Linked DNA regions of Medicago truncatula. The protein of the gene in region 2 binds, or shares a complex with, the protein of the main gene of each other region. Links are inferred from orthologs where the notes say so. Each region holds a gene or a part of one and is shown on either strand. Other genes may lie near its edges.

Evidence for each region.
Region 1: the proteins of COP9 signalosome complex subunit 3 (region 2) and COP9 signalosome complex subunit 8 are in contact, whole or in part, in a cryo-EM structure (PDB 9IS6), measured with the Arabidopsis thaliana proteins. The link is inferred for Medicago truncatula from reciprocal best matches to the Arabidopsis thaliana genes COP13 and COP9. Residues at the interface, in NP_568296.1 of Arabidopsis thaliana: Asp121, Leu123, Arg124, Pro128, Ala157, Lys158, Gly193, Leu194, Lys195, Lys332, Glu335, Met336, Leu339, Gln340, Ile342, Gln343, Ala349, Leu350, Ile351, Asn352, Gln353, Lys354, Asp377, Ile380, Gln381, Ile384, Lys388; in NP_193147.1 of Arabidopsis thaliana: Met26, Leu27, Ala30, Ser31, Gly33, Ile34, Glu35, Tyr36, Asp56, Phe60, Arg64, His89, Tyr91, Leu125, Ser128, Ala129, Tyr130, Ser131, Thr132, Ile133, Thr134, Asp137, Phe141, Met166, Arg187, Glu190, Tyr191, His194.

Annotation. Positions count from the first base shown.
Region 1 is NC_053043.1:1,164,388-1,171,732, reverse strand, and holds the start of COP9 signalosome complex subunit 8, read right to left. Parts: upstream 3,021-7,345; 5' UTR 2,856-3,020; intron 2,758-2,855; 5' UTR 2,715-2,757; coding exon 2,631-2,714; intron 2,531-2,630; coding exon 2,451-2,530; intron 1,815-2,450; coding exon 1,633-1,814; intron 732-1,632; coding exon 624-731; intron 1-623. Other genes in the region: uncharacterized protein, read right to left, coding at 5,248-5,334. UniProt on the Arabidopsis thaliana protein: Component of the COP9 signalosome complex (CSN), a complex involved in various cellular and developmental processes such as photomorphogenesis and auxin and jasmonate responses.
Region 2 is NC_053047.1:8,387,624-8,395,400, forward strand, and holds the start of COP9 signalosome complex subunit 3, read right to left. Parts: upstream 3,014-7,777; 5' UTR 2,895-3,013; coding exon 2,710-2,894; intron 439-2,709; coding exon 320-438; intron 1-319. UniProt on the Arabidopsis thaliana protein: Component of the COP9 signalosome complex (CSN), a complex involved in various cellular and developmental processes such as photomorphogenesis and auxin and jasmonate responses.

The sequences.
Region 1 (7,345 bases), on a different chromosome or scaffold from region 2:
CCATAGTTTCTACAGTGTCAATACACCCAAAAACAAACCTTAAATCCAAACCCAATAAAGTGAGACACTAATATAAGATTAAACCATTTAAGAGGTTAAAGATTGAGTGCAGAAGCTACGCTAATAAAGATCCAACATATATGTCACTAACAGGACTCTCGGCTATATCTATATGACTTCCATTAATTACATCACATGGTACATGAGGAACCTTTAAAGATTCTCTTATTGCCCATCACATTTTAGCATAAAATTTTGATTCGCTACTCTACACTCTACTAAAAATCCAATTAGTTAGTAGATATATTGACAGTAGAGGCATGGAATACAACAAGGAGAATTGGAATCCACTTTCACTGAATGTGTATCCGAGTGCAAGATTAAAAGGACTATTTTCGGTTCAACGGTCGTCAAGAAAGGATAGGGGCCAAACATTAAAGAGTATCATCTAGTCATGCAGAAATAATGTTGAACATAATCATGTTATAATAAATGCATTGATTGCTTGTAGATGTTATTTAATGTAAAAATAAATATCAGGACAACATTGGTTATGATACAAAAGGTGCTAAAACAAATAGACATGCATTGTTTGATTTAAAAATGAACATAAAATTACTTACAGCTTGTAGCACCATCATCACTCATTCCCAGAAATAAAGCAGCATCTTCAACACTTATTGTAGAATAAGCAGATACAAGAAGCTGAAAAATCTCCTTTGTGTAAAGTTCTGGAAAAAGCATATTGGTGATATTAACTTTTGCACTGTACAACTCATATTTGGAAGAAAAAAAACATATAGATGCAAAAGACTTTTGCAGTCAAACTGCTTAGAAAATAAATTGAAAAGCAAGAAACATACTTATTAAAACAATTGAAGAAGTGGCACATCACTAGTTTACTAAATTTTATGTGATCCGTGGCACCTTCGTCAACATTACATGCTGGCCAAAGAAATTACATTATTCATCAAATTCTTTTTTAGTTATATTTAAAGGGGAAGAGAACATCCAAAAACAAGTGATCAATCACTGTTCTTCCCAGGTTCAAACTATATTACACTTTTTCCATCAAAGTAATTCATCTTTTTGCAATGTTTCCATCCATAACATGCTAAAGCAACATGTAACTATCTTGAACACTATATGCAGTAGTGCAAACAACCAATGATAATTTTTAGTCACTTGTTTCCCTCCATAGTAACATGCCACTATCTTGAACACTAAATACAGTAATGTAAACAACAAACAATACTATGGCAACATGCCACTATCTTGAACACTAAATACAGTAATGTAAACAACCAACAATAATACAGATTCAATAATCAATACATCCATGCTTTAGTGATCGTCCCACACAGAAATGACTTACTTTCTTGATAAAATAGTCTATTGTCAAAATTAACAAGATATAATTGGTTATAATAAAATCAAGGGATACGTTTAGATAAATTAGGGGTCTATGGTTAAATGGTAACAGCTTATACAGTTATAATTTTAAGATATTTAAAGTGAAGATAAATTGAACAGAATCATGCCTTAAATATAGTGAAGATCAAAGAGTTTCTTTCTACATAAATTTCAAAGCTCTGCTAACAAAACAAAATAAAAAAATTCTTAAATGCTTGCCTGAGAAAGCAGAAATGAAGCATTGGAGTTCTGGACTCCACTCAAAACCACGGACCGCCTCATGCACTCCACCATAGTTCCTTAACCAAAGCTGTTGACCAATTTTCCACACAGCATTGACTTCAGGGTTGCTTTCTTTGATTGAGGAAGGTATTGTTTTCCATAGAAAACGAGCACTGTTGCTGCAATATCACAACAGCAAACAGAAAACCTAAAATCTAAAAAGTTACAAAACATAACATATAACCAACTCCATCCCTTTCAAAATACTGGTCCTGTTTGGATAAACAACTTAAATAAACTTCTATAGCATTAGTGCTTCTCATATAAATACTTATGCAAAGCTGTTTCTATAGCATAAAATAAAGTCAAACTATTTTCATATAAGCTATAAGCTATTTCATTTCATAAGCAATCCCGGAGAGCTTATGGAAATAAACTGAAAACAACTTATAGACATGTCTAAGCTATTTTCAATAAGCAATCCTGAACAGCTTATGGAAATAAACTAAAAACAACTTATGGACATGTCATAGGTTGTTTCCATAAATCTACCAAATAGTCACACAAGAGCTTATGTAAGTAAATAAGCTCAAAAAGTGTCGGGCGAGTCTGGCAAATGCCAATGTAAGTAGGTAAACTAAAATAAGTCAATTCTAACGGCACATTGTCAGTTACTATAAAACAAAGATTATAACAGTAGCAATATATCATCCAACATTAAACTAATTTAACTTGAAGCATATAACACTTCCATCTTCATTATTTATTTATATACATGATGAATAATAAAACTAAGAAGAGGGAAAATAGATTACATGTCATGAACATAAAAATGAGCGAGAAGATGAACGGAGTAGGGCCATTCATCGTGAAACGCAACACCGTCGGCAGCAACCTGAGTAAGTATCAACAATCAAGTAAGCAACGAATTACACAAACAAAAAAAAAAAAAAAAAAAAAGCCCTAAGGAAACAGTGAGAGTGAAAGAAACGAACCTGAAGCATGAGATTATCGCAGATATCAGCAATTTTGTCGTAAGATTTGGATTCCAATGCGGTTTTCACTGCTGATAAATCCATTACGTTCTTCTCTCTTCACGGATACTGGTTTCAGATCAAAACCCTAACCGTGTAAATAATCGAATTGGGAAAAATTAAAATCATACCCTAAAAAATGACATGAGAAAACAAAATCTACAAAACCAAACTTTGCATTCATACCTGAATTCGATGCGATGATAGATGAAATTAACCGACCAAACTACAAGCAAGTAAGGTTTTTCTATGTGCGCGATCTTTGTTTATCATTCATCCTAACGACGTCGTTTTTCTCCGTTCAAAGAAAAGCCCAGATAGGCCCGAGAGGGAAGCCCAAGTATTTATGAGAAAATTATTAAAATTTATTTTTAAGTAAGTTATATACAAGATATTTTTAACTAATTTTTAAATCCTATAAATATTTTGTACCAAGATAAAATATTTATTTTATTTAAATTTTAAAAGATAATGTATAAATTAAAATAAATAGTAGTAGTAGATTACTCTCTCCCTCATAAATTATAAGAATTTTTTTTTTTTTTTGAAAAATCAAAATGAAATATTATAACTTCAGCGATGGAAACGCTTTAGTACAAGGTGTACTAAATGTTCCAACCCGGTAAAAACAAACTGTCACAAAGTATAATTATAAGAAAAAGTCGGTCAATACCCAAACAATATAAAGGGTTCGACCACCAATTTTGAGAACCGTACACAAAAGTGGTTTTTTTAGCTTTAAGCCACCACAACGAATGAAATTTAACTTTATCTAACAACTGCTCAATAGGTGTTGCAGTGTTTTTGAACAATTTGTTGTTTCGTTCATTTCACAACAACCAAACACACAACAACCATAATAATTGAAGAAAAGAGCGACACGCCTTTGTATAACCTGAATAATGAATGAATTGGTAGAAGTGCTCACTGACATTATATGTATCAACACCAGTCACTCCAATCCAAGATCTGATAAGTTGCCATAGAGAACCAAAAACATGACAATGTAAGAACAAGTGAGAAGTCGACTCCTCTATATAAATTATAAGAAAATTACCCTAACAGATTTGGCAAAAATACTTTTAAAGGTTTTCAATTGGAGAGTTGAGCTTTCTCTTGCTTTTTATTTTCCTTGAGGGTTTTGCTCTTTGTACACCTTCTCTTTGTACTTTCATTTTCTTTTACTTATATATGATTAGGATGTTGCGGCAGGTGAACCCTCTGCACCCAATCTTTTGCTTTAATATTTATTGATATACAAGTAAATTAGATAGACAAAACGATATAATTTATATATTTCCATAATCACGTGTTTCTTATATCGAGTTGTGAATGTGTGCAAATAACAATAATGGATGAAATCGTAAAAAAAAAACATGGGTGTCTATGTCGAAGAAAGAGTCGTTGTTGTCTTGATGTAATGCAACCAAACTATGTTAGAGAAACTTATCAGAGCAAGGTGAGTGTGAGTGATGAAGGAGCACACGCTAATGTGACACAATACAAATAATGTCAGCAAAACTCAATTTCATTTAAGTATTTCTCATGAAGGAGGGACTATAAGTAGAGCTGCAAGAGCACATAGCAAAATATTTTTTTCATCATTTACTTATAAAAACTATATTAAGAGTTGCAAGAGAAAGATGGGGAGAATGACAAAGGGATTAGATTCGGTGGATCGGGAAAAATATACTAGCCGGGTCAATTGGATGAAGAAAAAAATAGAAATAATATCAACATCTCTTTTTCTTTCCTCTTTCACTCGTTAATTCACATCAAACAATATATTTAATGTACTCCCCCTTGACATCTTTTTCTTTCTTCCCACCATCATCATCCATCCTCACTTTATTCTCACAATCAAACATTAACATAGTAAAGTATACTAGATAACGAGTGTCATGACTCTTAGGAAAAAAGTGATAATAGAATAATTTTATTAAATTGAGTAAGAATAAAAGAAAAAGTGATAAAGTACAAGTTATCATATGAAATGAAGTAACTTATAAACTAATCAAATAAACCATATATTAATCAAAACACATTATAGCCCAAAAAATTAAAGAAATGATTTACATTAAATTCTAATAATCAAATGGATAAAACTTCCAAGGCTCTTTTGAAATGGGACAATTTAAGATGAGGAAACAAAAAGGTTAGAAGATAGAAAGGGGTTTGGGTTGGGAGAGAGCTTTAACAAAAGCCAACCCAGATGCTTCACCCACTAATTGGATTAACTTTACAGTTTGCAAACTGGTCAACAGATTTTTTTTTCTTCCTTACAATGGAAGTAACCAAATAAGAAAGAAGATTATGCAAAAATTCTTATGAGAAAAATGCTTAGTGCCCTGATTTAATATATTTTCCACAAAAACACCCATGACTATGGAGTTAAACAATTTGTTGAGACTCCTTTTTTGATAGCCATTGTAAATTCAATATTTCCTCTAATCAACTATTTTTTTCCTACTCATTTCTTCCTAAAATTAATTGAAGAAATGAGAGTTGAGAGAGAAATCAAGTGAAAATTAAGGACATTGATAGTGTCAACAAGAATTATATGCACTATTCTTCTTCATTAAACACTCAGTCCATCGAATCCACACTGCTTGTAAGTCAGAGATTGCTTTCTTGGACTAATCACTATAGCACAATCCACCGAGACCTGTGAAGTTTAGTTCATGATCAATTGTTAATCTATTGGTAATGCAATGCTTAATTAAAACAATACTGATTAATATCAAGAACATGAAACATAAAGAAAACAGGAAATTGGAGTAAATATTTAAAGTAAAGTTTCATTGCTTAAAATAAAAAAGGAAGATGAGGAGGGGATCAAAATGTATGTTCACGTTAGCAGAAGGATGATGCCATTATTATCACCCCATGTGCCCCACAAAGAGGATAGTCACATGGTGAAGACTTTCTTGGCCTAAAAAGTTTAAACATGTTGGCAGAAGCGTTTGACATTTGTATGCTTCGTTTAAACATATTCTAAACTTGATTTTTGAAGTTAGATAAAACGGGCTTAGTTTAATTTATCCAACATCTTATAGTATCAATGTATATGAAATAAGATTTGAAGACTCTATTGTTATGATATTGATTTTGAGAGAGAGATATGAAAGAAAAAGATTAATCTAAGGGTATAAGCTCACTAAAGGCGAGTTTTAGCATGGGACAATTGTGAAATTATCCCAACTTAGATCAATTTTGTTTTATTTGCTATTACTTGTATAACCTTATATTTGCTGAAGAAAAAAAAACATATTCAATTATAATTTGACTCAAATTAATTTAGTTATGAATATGTTATTTTTTAATCTCCCGTTTAAAAATCTAATACATCCGGCCCATTCTTAATAATCTTTTTAATTTGAAAACAGTCTTAATATTTTTTTTTTTTTAATTTGAAAACATAGACTTGATTAGTTCTGGGATAAAAAAAATATGTTATAAATATATATATATATATATATATATATATATACTACATTATTTATAAATAAATCAATTTAGTTTGTATCTAACTTTGTAATATTAAACCCTACAACAAAACTTTGTAATATTAAGGATTGAATAATTTTTTGGTCCTTATAAATATAGCGAATTTTTTTGAAGAAGTTAAATTACTCCACTCAAATTGACATAGGGAGAATCAAACATGAGACCTTGAGAAGAAACACACTTCAAAATCCCAAGTCAAAGTGACATATTTTTGTCCCTCTAAATTAGCTCACCCAAAATGACATGTTTTTGTCCCTCTAAAACAACACAGCACACAATTTTAATATTAATTAAAAGGGGACTAAAAATTTTGGTTTATAACGAATTTTATTTTTAGTTCTATAAAAATGACATGTTTTTGTCTCTCCAAAATATTTTAGTCCTTATTAAATTAAAATTGATATATTATAATTAAATAGAGCTATAAATTGAAATATAAAATTATAGAATGTACAATTAATAGCAAATAAAACAAAATTGATTTAAGATGGAACAATTTAACAATTGCCCCATGCTAAAACCCGCCCACACTAAATTGTGCTCACATGACTATAGGGAATCTAAATTCAAAGACACCTAAAAGAAGTAGATAAAAATTGCATCATTCACGTACATATTTCTAAAGGAAAACAGCTAAAAAAATGGAGAGAAAATTTAACCATTAGAATGACATTATTGAACTTGTGCGGGCGATAAAGGGTGTTATTTGTTGATAACATGGTGCAGTGGTTGGTTGGTACCCTGGTCTTGGAATCCAGCTTCTAAATCAAGTGGGGCCTAACAATTTTATCATTTCATTTTCACGTTCTAATCATTTCTTACTATTTTGCTATATAAGATGGGTCCTCAACATCAACCTTTCCACTCTCAAATAATACCTTGGTATTTTTGGTTCCCCAATTCCTATTCCACTATGTTTTTCATATAAAAAAAAAATGCAAAGTAAAGTTGTAAACCCTTGAAATTAAATACTTCACTATAGTCATCGGCACACAAAAAAGAGAGTGTAACAACGCCAATAAACTAGCACATTTTAGTCCCAAAAAAACAATATACTAGCACACAATAATGAGGCTATTGGAATGTCTTGCCATTGCCACAATGCTACCCAGAGACGAATATATAAAAGAGCGTGAAAAGAAAGCACTCAATATATAGAAAACCATAAT
Region 2 (7,777 bases):
TTTTCACAAATAATCCATCCATATTTCAGCATCTTTCCACATCAAGTTGTTTGTTCTTAAAACTTGTACACCCTCCGGTCACTAATATAAGCAAAAAAACTACATTTTAGGTTCATTCATTTAATGATGTATGTGGTCTATAATAAAGACCATGTACATCATTAAATGAATGAATCTAAAATGTAATTTTTTGCTTATATTAGTGACCGGAGGGTGTATATGTTATGGTAAGATGGTGAAACATTATTCTGTGGGTAAATAGTAAACAAGCTCAATAATGCAATATTGAAATCCCAATATTTCAACACAAAGCAAGTACATTTTTCTGGCGCCAACCGAATCTGCTCCACACTGCAAGCATTGATGAATCTTGCTATGATCGGAACTGCCTCTTCAGCTTGCTGCTGATTTGAAACTGAAGCAGCTGAGAATGCATCTCTGTAACCATAAATGTATGTCTCCAATTAAATAAAAACAGAAAAAATAAATTCACTATTCCATAACAAACAAAACAGGCACGTGAACAAGATTTAAGGAACAGTTCAGATAAACTCGAATGCAAGCACTTCTGAAAAAAAATATATCAACAGTTATAAAAATAAAATAAAAAACTTTTTCTTTCTCCTATCTAAGTTCAAATTTTACCCTGCATCTCAATTTTTCAGAAAGTTCCTTAATTAGCTTCTCTATTCACTCCTATAAAGTTATAGTTGTAGCACTCTTCATAATGAAGGTATGTCCGGTGTCCGACACCAGCACGACACCGATGCATATGGTTACATTGAATCACTTTCTTTTTCTCAAATTATGATCAGTGTCTACGTATCAGTGAAATGTGATTCATAGATTATCAATACTTTATCACAAATAAAAGACTACAGATTATTTCAATTCAGAAACACTTGTATTCTAGTATGTAACTCCTTTAAAGTGAGCAATTTAGAGTCTGAGGTAATTATATCAACCATTGATGAAGAATTCAATTGTTAATTTTACATATTACATGCACATGCAACACAAATTACGAGTGTGTTAAAATAACAAGCGCTCATTTTCTTACTTTACTCTCAACTCACTTAAGATGATCCAAATCTTATATACTAAATGTCTGTTTGATTGACTTATTTAAGTTTACCTATTGACATAACCACTTGTTAGACTGTTTCAAAGAGCTTATGAAAACAACTTATAACATATGCATAAGCTATTTTCAACTTACTCCATAAGCTCTCCAAGACAATTCATGAAAACAGCTTATACCTTATATAAAAGCAATTCGGTTTTATCTTATTTTTTGTAAAAGAAATAGCTAATACATAAGCATTTTTATATGATAACTGTTTAAGCTATAAGCGCATAATTAAGTTGTTTATCCAAATTGGGACTAAATTCAAAGGAAATAATTACCACCTAAGCAAAAAAGTGAATATTTGGTTCTAGAGTCCATCAACTAGGGTTTAACATTTAATCCAACAACAATAATGACATGTATATAAGCTAGCTGTTTTCATCTTATTTCCATAAGCTAAGCTTATGAAAACCACATATACCTTATATGGAAACAATTTATCTTTATTTTATAGAAATAACTCATACATAAGCATTTATATGACAAGTTTTATGTTATAATTGCTTAATTAAGATGTTTATCTAAACAATGCCATTTACTAGAAGCCAATAAAAATTAGGACTAAGGGCCTGTTTGGATAAACAACATATTTGCAGCTTAGCCTTAGCGCTTATCATGATAAGCGCTTAAGCATAAGCTACATAAGCTATTTTTATAGCAAAAGATAAAATAAAGTTGAATTGTTTTTGTATATTCTAAAAGATGTTTTCATAAGCTATATTGGAGGCGTGTCCGGTGTGCAACACATGTTGGTGTCCAACACTAACACATGTGATTAGAATCAATTATGCCATTTACACAAATTATCACCGGTGTTGACGTGTTAGTGTCGTCTGAGGTGTACACGTTAGTGGCTTCATAGCTAGAAGCTAATCTAATTGGGTCTAAATTCTAAACAAATAATAACAACCTGCTGAATATTAAAAAAAAAAACTCTATAGAGTCCAGAAACTAGGGTTTTAACATTAAATCAACAACAACAACAATACCTAAAATCTAAGAATATATAGATATATTAAAAAAGAGATTCTATTCTGCTATTATAAAAAAATGAAGGCAAAGTAAGGATTGCTTACTTACGAAGCACAGACACCGGACTCGATACTAACACTTTGATACCCAAAATAATTTGAGAAAATGACATAATTGAATGTAATCGTATGTTTCAATGTCGTATCAGTATAGTGTGGTGTTATATATGACATTCAGTTGTTTATTCATCCAAACAGGTCATGGCAATATTAGAAGGTAATAGAAATTGAGAACTATGTAGCACCGACATTTCCGATGGAAGGCATGTCTGGTGTCCGACACCACTGACGCATGTAATTATATTCAATTAAGTCACTTTTACAGTCAGTGTCGAATCCATGTCAACGTGTCAGGGTCGTATCCAGTGTGTACTTCATAGATTGGTAATAAATTCAAATAAAAAAATAACATCAAAATAAAAGTGAATATTTGGCTTAAGAGTCCAGGAATGGGGTTTAAACATTCAATCAACAATAACAAAAAAAGAAGCTAAAATCTAGTAATTAAAAAGCGATTATAAGAAAGAATAAGATTATTGTGATACGTACAGAAGATAGAGAAAACCGAGAGAATGAATGGAAGGATCAATGAGTTGAAGAATTGGATAGAGACGAGATGAATCGGAACGGAGAGTTTCATCGGAGTGTTTCAAGATGGTATGAAGACGAGCGATGTCGGCGGAGGAGCTTGATAGACCTTGGATTTGTGCGATCAATGGTTCGAGAGGATCCATGGCGGTGATGATTAGGGTTCTGAGTTCTGAGTCGAGTTGATTCGACGAGTAACGAGTGAGTGGGTTTTGAAGGAGGAAAGATGGGAGGTTTTATATATGTGTTGGTTTATGTGTGCCTGTGTGAAAAGGATTTTTATTTTTGAAGTTATACTGCATTTTTCTAAAAAAATAGCAATATTTTTTGTCAAAACAAAGATAAAAAAATGGCAATTTTTAGACTCCTTTCGTCCCAAAATTATTGAGAAGATATCGTGTGTTCCAAGATAGGGGTTATAATCGTAACTTTTTAAAAGATAAGGAGTCAAAAGATCATATTTCCCCTATGTTAAAGGGTCAAAAGATTATATTTCCTTAAATATGGGTCACTTTTGCAATTTTTTTAATAGTGAGCCAAAATCGCAACATTTTAAAACTTAGGAGGCGAAGAGTGCAATTTAACCTATTCTTTTATTATGTGTGATATATATTTTTTTTTATGAAAGAGTGTGTGATACGTATGAAATTTACCGATTACTAGTAATTTTGGTTCCTGAAATAAAGAACAAGTAATGCATCAAAATTTTTAATAGTTTTTGATCGTATATTTTTGTTAGTCAAAATAATCTTTTAATGTTGATATTAACATTTTTCATATATGATTTATATTTTGTTAAAAAATTCTAATTTTTTTTGGAAAGATTTTTACAATTTCCTACACATTTATGCAAAATGTCATTAAAAAATACAAAAATTAACTTAAAAATAAGGATTAAAAGTTGAAGAAATTTCTTATAGGGATTAAAACGAAAAAAAAATTGAGATATTTATAGGGATCAAAAACATATTTAACCTTCTAAAGAATGTATGTCCTAATGTATATTTTTATTGGGTCATACTAACTTATGCCCTAAGGGCACAAGTTAAGGATTAAAAAAAGACATTAAATGCACAATTTTCAAAATTAAGTTTCGACATTTGGCTTTAAATCTATGTATTATGAGCCAAGATATCATTTTCCTTTTTTAATTAGGATTTTTTTTTTTTGGTTTTCGCACCGGTTTCCAACCCACCAAAGGTGGACGACTAATTCGGCTAATGCGTAGAGGCATGTGCATTGGTCAAATATTGTTCTCCTAGGAATCGAACCCGATATTCCCGGGTACGTTCTTCGAATAAGCTCTTTATCACTAGAGCCCAAGGAACTTAATTTTTTTAATTAGGATCTTATTAATAAGTGAATGCATGTGAATACATTGATCACACATATTTTAATAAAAACTTACTATTATAGGTTTTTTTTTTTGCCACAGATAAAAAATTTACTATTAAAGATTTTTTTTTTCCGCTGAGGTTTAAACCTCACGTATATTATCCTGTGTTGTCTGTGTCAACTCTTAAACTCACGATGACGCTATTAAATGTTCACATTGTTAACATTTATACTGCTCCCTCAAAAAAAAAAACAATTTATACTGGTATAAATCAGGAACGGACCCACCGTATACAGCCAAGTGCCCACCGTGTATACGCTGAGAACCCAGAACACAACACACATCAATTTTATTTCTTCTCTCTCACAACAAGAAACAAACCCCGTCAAGGCCTCTCTCTTCTCCACTCTCAGCATCACCTTCAAACCAACCATCTCTCTCGCAGTTCTCACTCACTCTACGTCAAGGTAATCCAATTGATTCTCTAGTTTCTCATTCCTTCACCAATGTCTTGTTTTAGGGTTTTAGAATTGAGAATTGAGAAACTTTTTAGGGTTTTAGAATTGGAGATTGAGAATCGTTAATAGCTTTTCTGAATGCATGGAAATATGCCATAGCTTTTTTGCTACCGCCAAATGCCATATGTTTTTTTTTTTATTAATAATATAATTTGTTCAAAAAAAAGAATTAAGTTCATTGTTATAGAGTTTGGAAAAATTGCTTGTACATGATAATTGCTTATTGAGCATTGTGACTTCTGTGTACAATTGTGGCTAAATGACCGTCTTATAAGTTATAACTTATATAGAAAAAATGTTCTTTTCACAATTAGCATTGATGTTATTTTAGCTCATTTAGCTCATTTTCAACAAATGGATAGTAGACGATTTTTATTGTAATTGTATTGCATCAAACAATGTTAATTCTTGTTGTTAGTATAATCTGCATCATGAAATTTTAGCCACAACAATGTAGAATGTCTGGGTCCACCCCTGGTATCGATGCGTCTCTGTTATGTGTAATATACAAGTGTCTCTGTTATATTTGCTTTGTGATACTTTGTCTTTTGTTTCAAGCTATGAGCAGAAATTTCATTATAATTGAGAGCTATTGCATTAATTTAGTTTACAATTTTTTTTTGTTTTTAGAATTTAATAATTTTTAAAATTGAGTGTTGTGATTTACAAATTGTTTTTGTGGTGATAATTATAGAAGAAAATTCACATCTCAGACTTTAGAGATTTTCATGATCAATGAGAATGTCAATTCTTATTCGCAAAGCAAAAACTTGTAATATATCTTTGCAACTATGTATTTTTTATTTTACGAAATTTGGATATATAAATAGTGACGAGAGATTTTCAATGCATCTTAGTACTAAGTTATTGAGAGAGATACTTGTGTACAAACGAACATGTTATGGTTTTATAACTAATGAAAAATAACATATAGTCATTAATTATTTTTTTAATAAAAATGTAAAGTTAAGATAATGAAATCGGTTCTCCTTATTTTTCTCTTTACCGTTGAAAAAATATTATTGTTTGCACATCAAGTTATGCTCTGCCTACGAAATTATCGTTCAATCAAACTCTATTGATTCCCAGGGGGGTTGATAGAAGGGTTGTTTGGTAGTCAGCGCATGACTTGATTGCAAACAATGATTTTATCAAAGTGACCAAGAGAAATAAGATTAGAACCGATTTTCATTATATTAATTTTACATTTTTATTAAAAAGTTAATGATTGTCATGTTATTATTCGTTTTGTACGCAAGTATTTCTTGTTTGCATAATTCTCATGTAATCGTCATAAACAAATGCATCTGGTGTTGATGTCACCATCGTAACTGGTGGCATCTCCATTGGAGTTGTCTCATATTTTATTGCCTTGTGGAGCGGCGTCGTCGCCTTTACCATTTGGGACTTACCATGAGACATACATTCCTTCCTTTTCTTTTTACCTTTTCTAATTTAGGGTTAAATAAGTTTTTTGTCCTTATACAATTTTCAAATTTTGCTTTTTATTTCCTCTAAATTTTTTATCAAGTTTTAGTCCTAAATATTTTCCATCATAGGCAAACTATCCTATGAAATTTTGAATTACTTTGTGCAATAGAGGGACAAAAAAAATAGGTTCGTCCGACCTATTTTTTAATCAAAAGCATATTCACGTTGAATTGTCCCCCGATTCTAATTGCATTCATAGTTTTGTTACATTTCATGCTAATTATGCTAGAAACTGACTTCTACCTCCCACTCAATTTTTATGAAGTCTTAAAACATAGGACCCTAGCCACTTTCTGCACATAATTTTTGGTTGTGTGTCCACCTTTTTTCCCTCTTTTTTATACGACATTTTCGGATTATACCTAGTCCAATTTGTAAGTGATATACACTCAAACCCTAGCCTTATTTCATTTCCTCTTCCTCATATACATTGCTGCCGCTTTGCTTCTCATTCTCAATCTGTGTCATGTTCTTCTCCCTTCAATCTCTCTCCCCATGCATGTCAAAATTATATACAAGTTTGTTTAATGTAATTTGTTAAAAAAATAATCAAATATCAGTGACCGCTATTTGTCATACGGCTATCCCGCTATCCAAGATTGACTACAAAGATGAAAATTGAAGAGGTTCAGTCGACAACAAAGAAACAGCGTGTTGCTACTCACACTCACATTAAAGGCCTAGGTCTTGAGGTTCGTTCTCTTCTCTTCCTCAATTTAATAAGTTATTTTCTCCGTTTTGTGTTTGTTGTGTGTGAAGCCATACCCTTTTGCTTATTTCTTGCTATGCTCAAAGGTTTGGTCATTGTTCAGGTGAGTGGAAAAGCATTGCCTTTTGCTTCTGGGTTTGTGGGACAAGCTGAGGCAAGAGAAGCGTGTGGCCTTGTGGTCGACATGATACGCCAGAAGAAGATGGCTGGCAAGGCACTCCTTCTCGCTGGGCCCCCGGGAACCGGAAAGACTGCATTAGCACTTGGGATATGTCAGGAGCTTGGGACCAAGGTTCCATTCTGCCCAATGGTTGGTTCCGAAGTATACTCAACGGGGTTCTTATGGAAAATTTTCGACGTGCTATCGGTCTTCGTATTAAGGAAAATAAGGAAGTATATGAAGGCGAGGTCACCGAGCTCTCTCCTGAAGAAACTGAGAGTATAACTGAAGATTATGGTAAAAGTATCAGCCATGTGATAATTGGATTGAAGACAGTCAAAGGAACCAAGCAACTAAAGTTGGACCCCACCATATATGATGCCTTGATCAAGGAAAAGGTTATTCTTTTCTCTTTTTCAAAGGTCATTTTAAATCTATACAAATATTGGTGTCAAACATTCTACAGCTTTGATACAGGTAGCTGTCAGGGATGTTATATATATTGAGGCAAATAGTGGGGCTGTGAAAAGGGTTGGCCGAAGTGATGCTTTTGCTACTGAGTTTGACCTTGAAGCTGAAGAGTATGTTCCACTTCCCAAGGGAGAGGTTCACAAGAAAAAAGAGATTGTTCATTATACTTAGGGTAATGCTTGTTTTAGCGAGAAATAACATCCCGAGTACATCCCGAGCAATGTATTGTGTTGTGTTGTTACTGTAGCGTCTCACTTTTCCATCAAACCACCCATTTTTCCAGCTAAATTAAAATCATACGGTGTGCATGCTTCGTGAAATTTTCGCCTGGTTATTTCTCGCTA